Linked DNA regions of Oryzias latipes. The protein of the gene in region 1 interacts with the protein of each later gene in a biochemical or structural test. Links are inferred from orthologs where the notes say so. Each region holds a gene or a part of one and is shown in the gene's direction. Other genes may lie near its edges. The genes, in order: hmga1 and prmt6.

The links.
Region 2: of the proteins of hmga1 (region 1) and prmt6, one has a biochemical effect on the other in vitro, tested with the Homo sapiens proteins (2 studies listed by BioGRID, with this or other methods). The link is inferred for Oryzias latipes from reciprocal best matches to the Homo sapiens genes HMGA1 and PRMT6.

Annotation. Positions count from the first base shown.
Region 1 is NC_019865.2:19,766,937-19,771,199, reverse strand, and holds the start of hmga1 (high mobility group protein HMG-I/HMG-Y), read left to right. Parts: upstream 1-1,230; 5' UTR 1,231-1,373; intron 1,374-1,442; exon of another isoform or gene 1,443-1,625; intron 1,626-2,086; exon of another isoform or gene 2,087-2,171; intron 2,172-2,365; 5' UTR 2,366-2,386; coding exon 2,387-2,485; intron 2,486-3,015; coding exon 3,016-3,096; intron 3,097-3,930; coding exon 3,931-3,987; intron 3,988-4,263. UniProt on the Homo sapiens protein: HMG-I/Y bind preferentially to the minor groove of A+T rich regions in double-stranded DNA. It is suggested that these proteins could function in nucleosome phasing and in the 3'-end processing of mRNA transcripts.
Region 2 is NC_019878.2:11,442,516-11,445,786, forward strand, and holds prmt6 (protein arginine N-methyltransferase 6), read left to right. Parts: upstream 1-1,431; 5' UTR 1,432-1,512; coding exon 1,513-2,562; 3' UTR 2,563-2,747; downstream 2,748-3,271. UniProt on the Homo sapiens protein: Arginine methyltransferase that can catalyze the formation of both omega-N monomethylarginine (MMA) and asymmetrical dimethylarginine (aDMA), with a strong preference for the formation of aDMA.

The DNA of each region.
Region 1 (4,263 bases):
TGGTTAATTAATTCCAGAAAGAAGAGCGACATTTCTATTTTTATTGACCTGAATTTCTTGCCAAAATAAGAATTTTCAGGAATCGCAGTTAATATTTCACATTGGGTTTTCTAGTAAATTTCAAAGCAAAAAACGAAAGGTATAAGCTGCAAAGATTTTGCACAGTACCAGGTACAATGTTCTTGTGATTTAAACATTAAACACATTTTTACATTATGTGTGTGTGTGTTTCTTTAAAGTTGTATCTTACAATAGCACGCTTTTATAAAATGTTCACATTAGTCCATAAAACTCTGTTTGTATTTGAAGTTTTCATACAATACAAGAAAGTTTATTCACTACAGAAAATAAGACAGAAAAAAATGTGTTTAAAAATCATGCAAAAGTCCAAAACTAACATGTAAGTTAGTAAAAGTTATGGAAATTATTCTAATTATTTATTTTTTAAATGTTAAATCCAAAAGAAACACTTATGGCAATCGATTTTGTTATAACAAATCCACATTTCTTTTGGTATTATTAAAGCTTAAAAAGCTATGTAAATAGTTTTTTTTTTCAAACTATTATAGTACAAAAATATTATAGCAATTTATATTTATTAATTTTGTTTAAAGCTGCTTAAACTAAAGTAACTGGACAGTTTTACACCTAAGAACAGATGAATGGATGTATGTGCCTCTGTAACACAAGAGAACACAATGTTCCAGCAGGGAATCAAACCAGCAGCTAATGAGTCAGCAGCCTTTTTGCAGCCAACTTCATCTGAATATATGTTTAAAAAATTAACTTCAGCTCCAATTAGTGTGCATTTATTTGATATTTTTGAGAGGGGTGTTTGTACGTTTTAGGTTCTTATTTGACAGTTTGAAATGAAATTTCTGGGACTATAAGCAGGAGAGCTGAATGCTCCTAGTATAAAGGAGGCATGTGTTTACATTGGGGGAGGTCATAGTTCATTCACCATTACAGTGGAGACTGGAATGCAGACCTACTGTTCAGCAAAAGGACAAAATACTAAACACCACATATTATATTTGAACATTGAAAATGTACTTTCCGTCAGTTTTATTTTATGTGAAAAGTTCCTTCCGATACTTTCCAACATGTGTTTTGCGTTTTCAAACCGAATCAAGAAAATGTAAAGAATCCGCGCCATAAGGAGTGGTTGGGTGGAGGGGGGCTGAGCTTCTGTGGTACTGTTGGTGGCCCCATTTATCATATCTCCGCCCTCCAGTGTTCCTGCTCCCATGAGGGCGGCTCTTTAAATTGGCCAAAAATCTCCTCCTGGCTCGCGCCTTTTTTCTTTATCTTCACGAGACCAGACGCACGTGCTACATTCAGGACACCGTTGGAATAATCTTCTTGTTTTGCTGGTAAACTATATTTATTTACATATAAGCAGTTGTTTGGATGAAATGTTGATTTTTTTTTTCTTCAATTCAAAGCGGGTTTTTTTTCTTTTGTCGGCCGCGTGAGCAGGGTTTTTTAAATGGGGCGGGCTGTGCGTTGTCTGACGAAAAAAAGCTCCAGCCTATAGATCGTTGCAAGGTTTTTGAACCGGTTCGGCCAGGCTTCAGGGGCATTTCTGAACAAAATTAAGGACGGGGAAAGCGGACTAGTAACAGGTAAGCGCTGATTAATCCGGCGTGAACCGAATGTAGTCGGTTAGCTTCAAGCAAATTACTACATTTAAGCTAGCTTACAGGACGCCGCATTCTTTGAACGTGAAGATGTCTTTTGGCCTGCCTTCCAGTCGCCTTAAATTTACCGTCATGTTTTGTAAAATATCAGGGATTTTTTTAATTTTTATTTTTAATTATAGGGGGGACCCTAAAAGTCGCGCGCATGTAGCCGATGCTTAGCCTTCAAATGCAAACGAGCACATAGCAGCCATTGTGTTCTCGGTGGCCCCTGCGTGCAGACCTGCTGTGAGATGGATTCGTGCACAGGCCCGACCATTGGTCACAACAGCTCCAGGCAGGACGGGCCCCTAATATGTTTGGTTCGGGAACGGTGCAACGGGTTCAGTAGTGTCCCCCCGCCCTCCTCCCCTTTTTTCCTCCCACCGCCCCTCGAGTCTGTGCATTAACATGCGATCGCCTTCGTTGTCTGGTTCTGTGTAGCACGGTGCTGTGTAATGGAGCGCGGATGAGACGGAAATAGACCTGGAAGTAAGCGCGGATTAATTGAGTTAAACCGGGTTCGTGTGTTTGGCGACGGTCGGATTTTATTTGAATATGTTAGTTTTAAATGCGGTCATTGGCTTTAGCGGGTTAGACGCTTTGTGTTGTGCGTGAACTCGACGCCTCGTCCTCCTCCTGCTGCTGCTGCAACAGCGCCAAATCTGTGGACTCTCTCCTCGTAGGTTCCAAGAGCTAAAGTAAGCATGAGCGACAAGGGAACCGTCTCGCCGAAAGAGAAAGAGGCGGCAGAGAAGAGAGGGCGTGGAAGACCCCGTAAGCAGCCCCAGGTAAAGACGACTGACGTAAGTAAACGCACATTTTACACCCCCTTCTCGTTTCGTATAGGCGTGCATGCTGTGGATCTGTAATTGTGCATGTGTTGCACCGGGAGAGTGAAGTGCTCCATGCATGCCCTAAAATCCAAGTAGAGGCCCGCAACTTGCAACCCCCCCACCACCATTTCAAAGCAACCTGTAACCCTACACCTTTAAACCGGTTTAACCCCCCACCCCCCTCCCCCCCATCCTCTCGCCCACCTATGTGCTCCATGTAATGGATGACATAGCCCAGTCCAAGCAGAGTGGCTCATAGACCTGTCAGTCAGTCTGCTGTGGTTTACTACTGAGTTGCCTGGTTGCTAAGAGCAGCAGCTGTAAACAAGCTACAAATGCAACAGAAGGCAAGTCAGCCACGACACCATCCAACCACAAATTACGCATGAATACGATTACTCGCCTCCTGTTGATTATTGGTGATGCCAGTCTCCCAATAAGAAGAAAAAAAACGCACTGCAATAAAACTTGAATTAACTCTGGGTCGCTTTGATCACCAGGAGCCCAGTGGATCCCCGACTCCAAAGAGGCCCAGAGGACGACCAAAGGGCAGCAAAAACAAGACCGGCGGCAAGGGCAAAGTAAGTTGACATACAATGTGAAGGAGCAGAATTTCCAACACATCCATTGCCCCCTGCATCCATTTGGTTTAGCAGCGCAGCAGCTGCTGACCACATACTCTTAAAGGACGTTGAGCTGTCATTTGTGACATTTAGTGTCTTCTTCCCCTCTTGTCACTAATGGCATAGTTATGGTTTCCCCATTGTAAAAACCCACTGGTTTAGTGCCTTACTTTTTGAGGTGTGTGTGTGTGTGATGGTGGTGGTGGTGGTGGTGGGGGGGGGTGTCATCCTGTCCTCCAGCTTCCTGCAGAGTGCAGGCAGTGCAGGTGCAGAGGCTGCAATACTGTTTCCAAGTTGACACTTAGCCCCCCCACCCCCCACCAGTACACAGCCCTAGTTCTTCTCTCTGCCTGTCGTCTCCATAGCAACATCAGATTTTTCTCCCTCGCCCCAACCCTCCAGCTCCCCCGTGTGCTCAGCCCATGTTTTTAATGCATGGGAAAAGGGAGAGCGGCAGACAGAGTTTGGGACAGGCGTGCACGCGGCACGATCGCTTTAGCAGCAGCGCCTGCTCTGCAGAGAGGGCTTCTGGGTCTTCGCTCGATTTCACCAGCTGTCTCTGAGCCTCAGACCAGGTGGCCTGCGAACTGGAGTGCCCCGTATGCAGTTCCTGTAGGCCATCCAGATAATAGCCAATGAACCCAATGCCCCCTCCCCTCCTGTCATTGTTAAAGTGTGACTGCCATCTACAGGCAGTTTAGGGCACTGTCACTCTCTCAAATAAAAAAAAATGCAGATGGCCGAAGCCTCTTCACTGCAGAATGTCTGACCTTGTGTCCCTTTTGTTCACAGAAGGCAGCGGCAGCTCAATCTTCAGCGGGGAAACGCAGAGGAAGACCCAAGAAAGAGGTAAGAGTTGCCCTTAAAACAGTGCAACAGTGTGCTAAAAACAGTGGGCCAGTCTTGAAAGAGCATTAAATCTCGCATTGTGTGGTTTCGTAGTAGCATTCCATCACTGCTTGTGGTTTGGGCGGACTCTAAAGAGACGCCTGGATTAGTCACTAAAAAGGAATGACCCAAGGCCACACTCTAAAATGAACCCACTCATTTTTATGAATGAACATGATAGGCATGCTGTTGGTGTGTGGATGGGGGGAAAAGCAGCACTCATTAGTGTGAGTCACA
Region 2 (3,271 bases), on another chromosome or scaffold:
CGGATCAGTTGTCTTAGTCCCTTTGCTGAAAAACAGCCCCAAATGGTTATGTTTCCACCTCCGTGCTTTACAGTAGGTATGGTGTTCTTTGGATGCAACTCTGCATTCTTTCTCCTCCAAACACGATGAGTAGAGTTCTTACCAGAAGGTTCTATTTTTCTTTCGTCTGACCATAGAATATTCTCCCAATCCTCTTTTGGATCATCCAAATGCTCTCTAGCAAACTTTAGACGGGCCTGTATATGTCCTGTCTTAGCAGGGGGACATGACTGGCACTGCAGGATTTGAGTCACTGGTGGCATAGTGTGTTACTGATGGTAGTCCTTGTTATTTTGGTCCCAGCTCACTGCAGGTCATTCACCAGGTCCCCCAGTGTGGTTCTGGGACACCGTTCCTGTGATCATTTTGACCCCATAAGGTGAAATCTTGGAGGGAGGGAGATTATCAGTAGTCTTGTAAGTCTTCCATTTACAAATAATTGCTCCTGCAGTTGATTTCTTGACACCAAGCTGCTTACCCATAGCAGATTCAGTCTTCCCAGCCTGGTGCAGGTCAACAATTTGGTTCCTGGTGTCCTTAGACAGCTCTTTGGTCTTGGCAACAGTGGAGTTTAGAGTGTGACTGTTTGAGGTTGTGGACAGGTGTCTTTTATATAAATAAGAAGTTCAAACAGGTGCCATTATTATATTATTACAGGACAGATGATCCTCTTACAGAAAAGGTTACAGGTCTGTGAGAACCAGAAATCTTGCTTGTTTGTAGCTGACCAAAGCCTTGTTTTTTACCACAAGTTACAAATTAAGTCTTTTAAAGTCAGACAATGTGATTTTATTTTTCCTGACTTGGTCTCTAAATACCCCCCACACACACACACTCACACACACACAAATAAGAGTGCTATAAACAGATGGCTCAAGCAACATTTAAAAACAATAAATTGGAAGAAAATATTTAAAAACATGTCTCAGTTTAAAAGAATAAATCTATTAAAAAAAAAACAATGTAATATTACCTAACACAACACTTTCCTAAACTCTGTTTAAAGAAATGATGGTGATATTCCCCACTTAACCACTTGGAAATTTAAAGTAATACAAATAACAGGATAAAAATGAATATTTTAAAAAAAAGTGACCCAATTGTATGCAATACACTGAAGAAACAAATATTTGTCAAATAATTTAGTGTTTGTGCTGTCAATGTGAGTGGCTTTGACACCTGGAAATAGTTTTAGAGAAATTACGATTTTTTTTTTCTTTAAGTCCCCCTTTTCCATTATTATCCCTATTTTTTAGTCAATCCCAACATTCCACAAACATTTTGAAAGAAAAATGTGTAAACTCAAATTCTCAAATGTCAGAATTGTCCCGTTGGTTTGTGGGTATTGTAGTAGCTTGTCGTGAATATTAACTTCAAAGTCTCTCCTCTGCACTACAAATCCCAGATTCACCAACGCGGAAGTAGCAAACAAAAACACCGCCAGCTCGTAGCACGCTGCAGGAGAGGAAAAAGATGTCTTACGCAGGAAAAAAGAGAAAACTGGATAAAACCCGCCAGGATAGACTTTATTTTGACAGCTACGCGGATGTCACCATTCACGAAGAAATGATAGCGGACCACGTCCGGACCAACACTTATCGGACGGCGATTCTTTTGAACACCGAGTGCATTCGGGGTAAAGTGGTGCTGGATGTCGGCGCAGGAACGGGCGTGTTAAGCATCTTCTGTGCCCAGGCGGGAGCCAGGAAAGTCTACGCCGTGGAGGCCTGCTCTATATCCGAGCAGGCTGAGAAAATAGTCCGACAAAACAACATGGACGATCGAATTGAGGTCATTCGGGGGACCGTGGAAAGCGTGGAGCTCCCCGAGAAGGTGGACGTGATTGTGAGTGAGTGGATGGGTTACGCTCTGCTTCACGAGTCCATGCTCAACTCGGTGCTCTGTGCCCGGGATAGGTGGCTTCGGCCCGGCGGCATCATCCTGCCGAGCAGAGCCGAACTCTACATCGCGCCCATCTGTGACCCGGTGGTCGAAGACCGCCTACACTTCTGGTACACCGTCAAAGAGCAGTACGGCGTCGATATGTCGTGTATGTCCGACTTTGCCCGGAAGTGCATTATGAACTCTGACATCACGGTGAACACCGTGACCGTGGAGGACGTGCTTTCCCACCCGGCGCGCTTCGCGGAGCTGGACCTATATTCTGTGACGGCGGAGGAACTCCGCTCGGTGAAGGGCCGGTTCAGCTGCGGCTCGTTCGGCTCGGCGGCAGTCAATGGCTTCTGCGTGTACTTCACGGTCAGCTTCCCGTGTTCGGACAAACCGCAGACGCTCGTGCTCTCCACGTCGCCGTTCAAACCCGAGACCCACTGGAAGCAGGCGGTGCTGTACCTCGACTCCCCGGCGGAGGTGAAGCAGGACACGCTGGTCTCCGGGGAGGTGTGCATGTATCCCTCAGAGGAAAGCGACAGACATATATGTATCCACCTGGAGTATGCTATAGGAGAAGAGAAAAGACAGTCCAAGACTTTCTCCATGCCTGACTGGAGCTCTGACGCCTAGACTTAGAATTACTAAATGACCCTAAACATCACACAGAAGTAGTGTTATGATAAATAATTCAGATGATCAATTAATAGCACTTTAGTAGGAAAAAAACACCTGGTCTCTACATCTGCACTTATTTGATCAAGTTTTACTGCTTTTAAATTGGTATTTAAAAATAAAAGTTTAAATTCACTCTAAAATTGAGTTTGCTGTGTTTTTTCTTGTTTGTGAATCTAATACATCTTTTTTTATGTTTAGGAATAACCATAAAAATTCTTAAGTTACATTTGTTTCAGTGTATTTTTTCAATGTAAATGCTTCTTTACTCTAGTGAACAATGTTTTTTTATTTTATTTTCAATTTTATATTTAAATATTTATTTTTATAGACTGCAACAATATAAAATGGTATAATCATAAATTTCATTCATCCATGTAAAAAACAAAAATGGATTCTCACACCAGATATTTTAGGTTTTTGTTAATAATAAAAAGCAAACTTCTAAATTTACTAATTGTTCTTAGGTATTTGTTGTTCATAATGTCTTTCTTACCTTTTTTTTTTTAAAGCCGAGCTTAGATTTATAGATATATTGCTAACAAAAGAAAGTAGTACAAAAAAATTGACAACTAAGAACTTTTATGTTTTCTGAGAAAAACTGCTAAATAAGATCATTTTATATAACATTTTCCAGAATAAAAAAGTAATGTAAAAACTGATACAA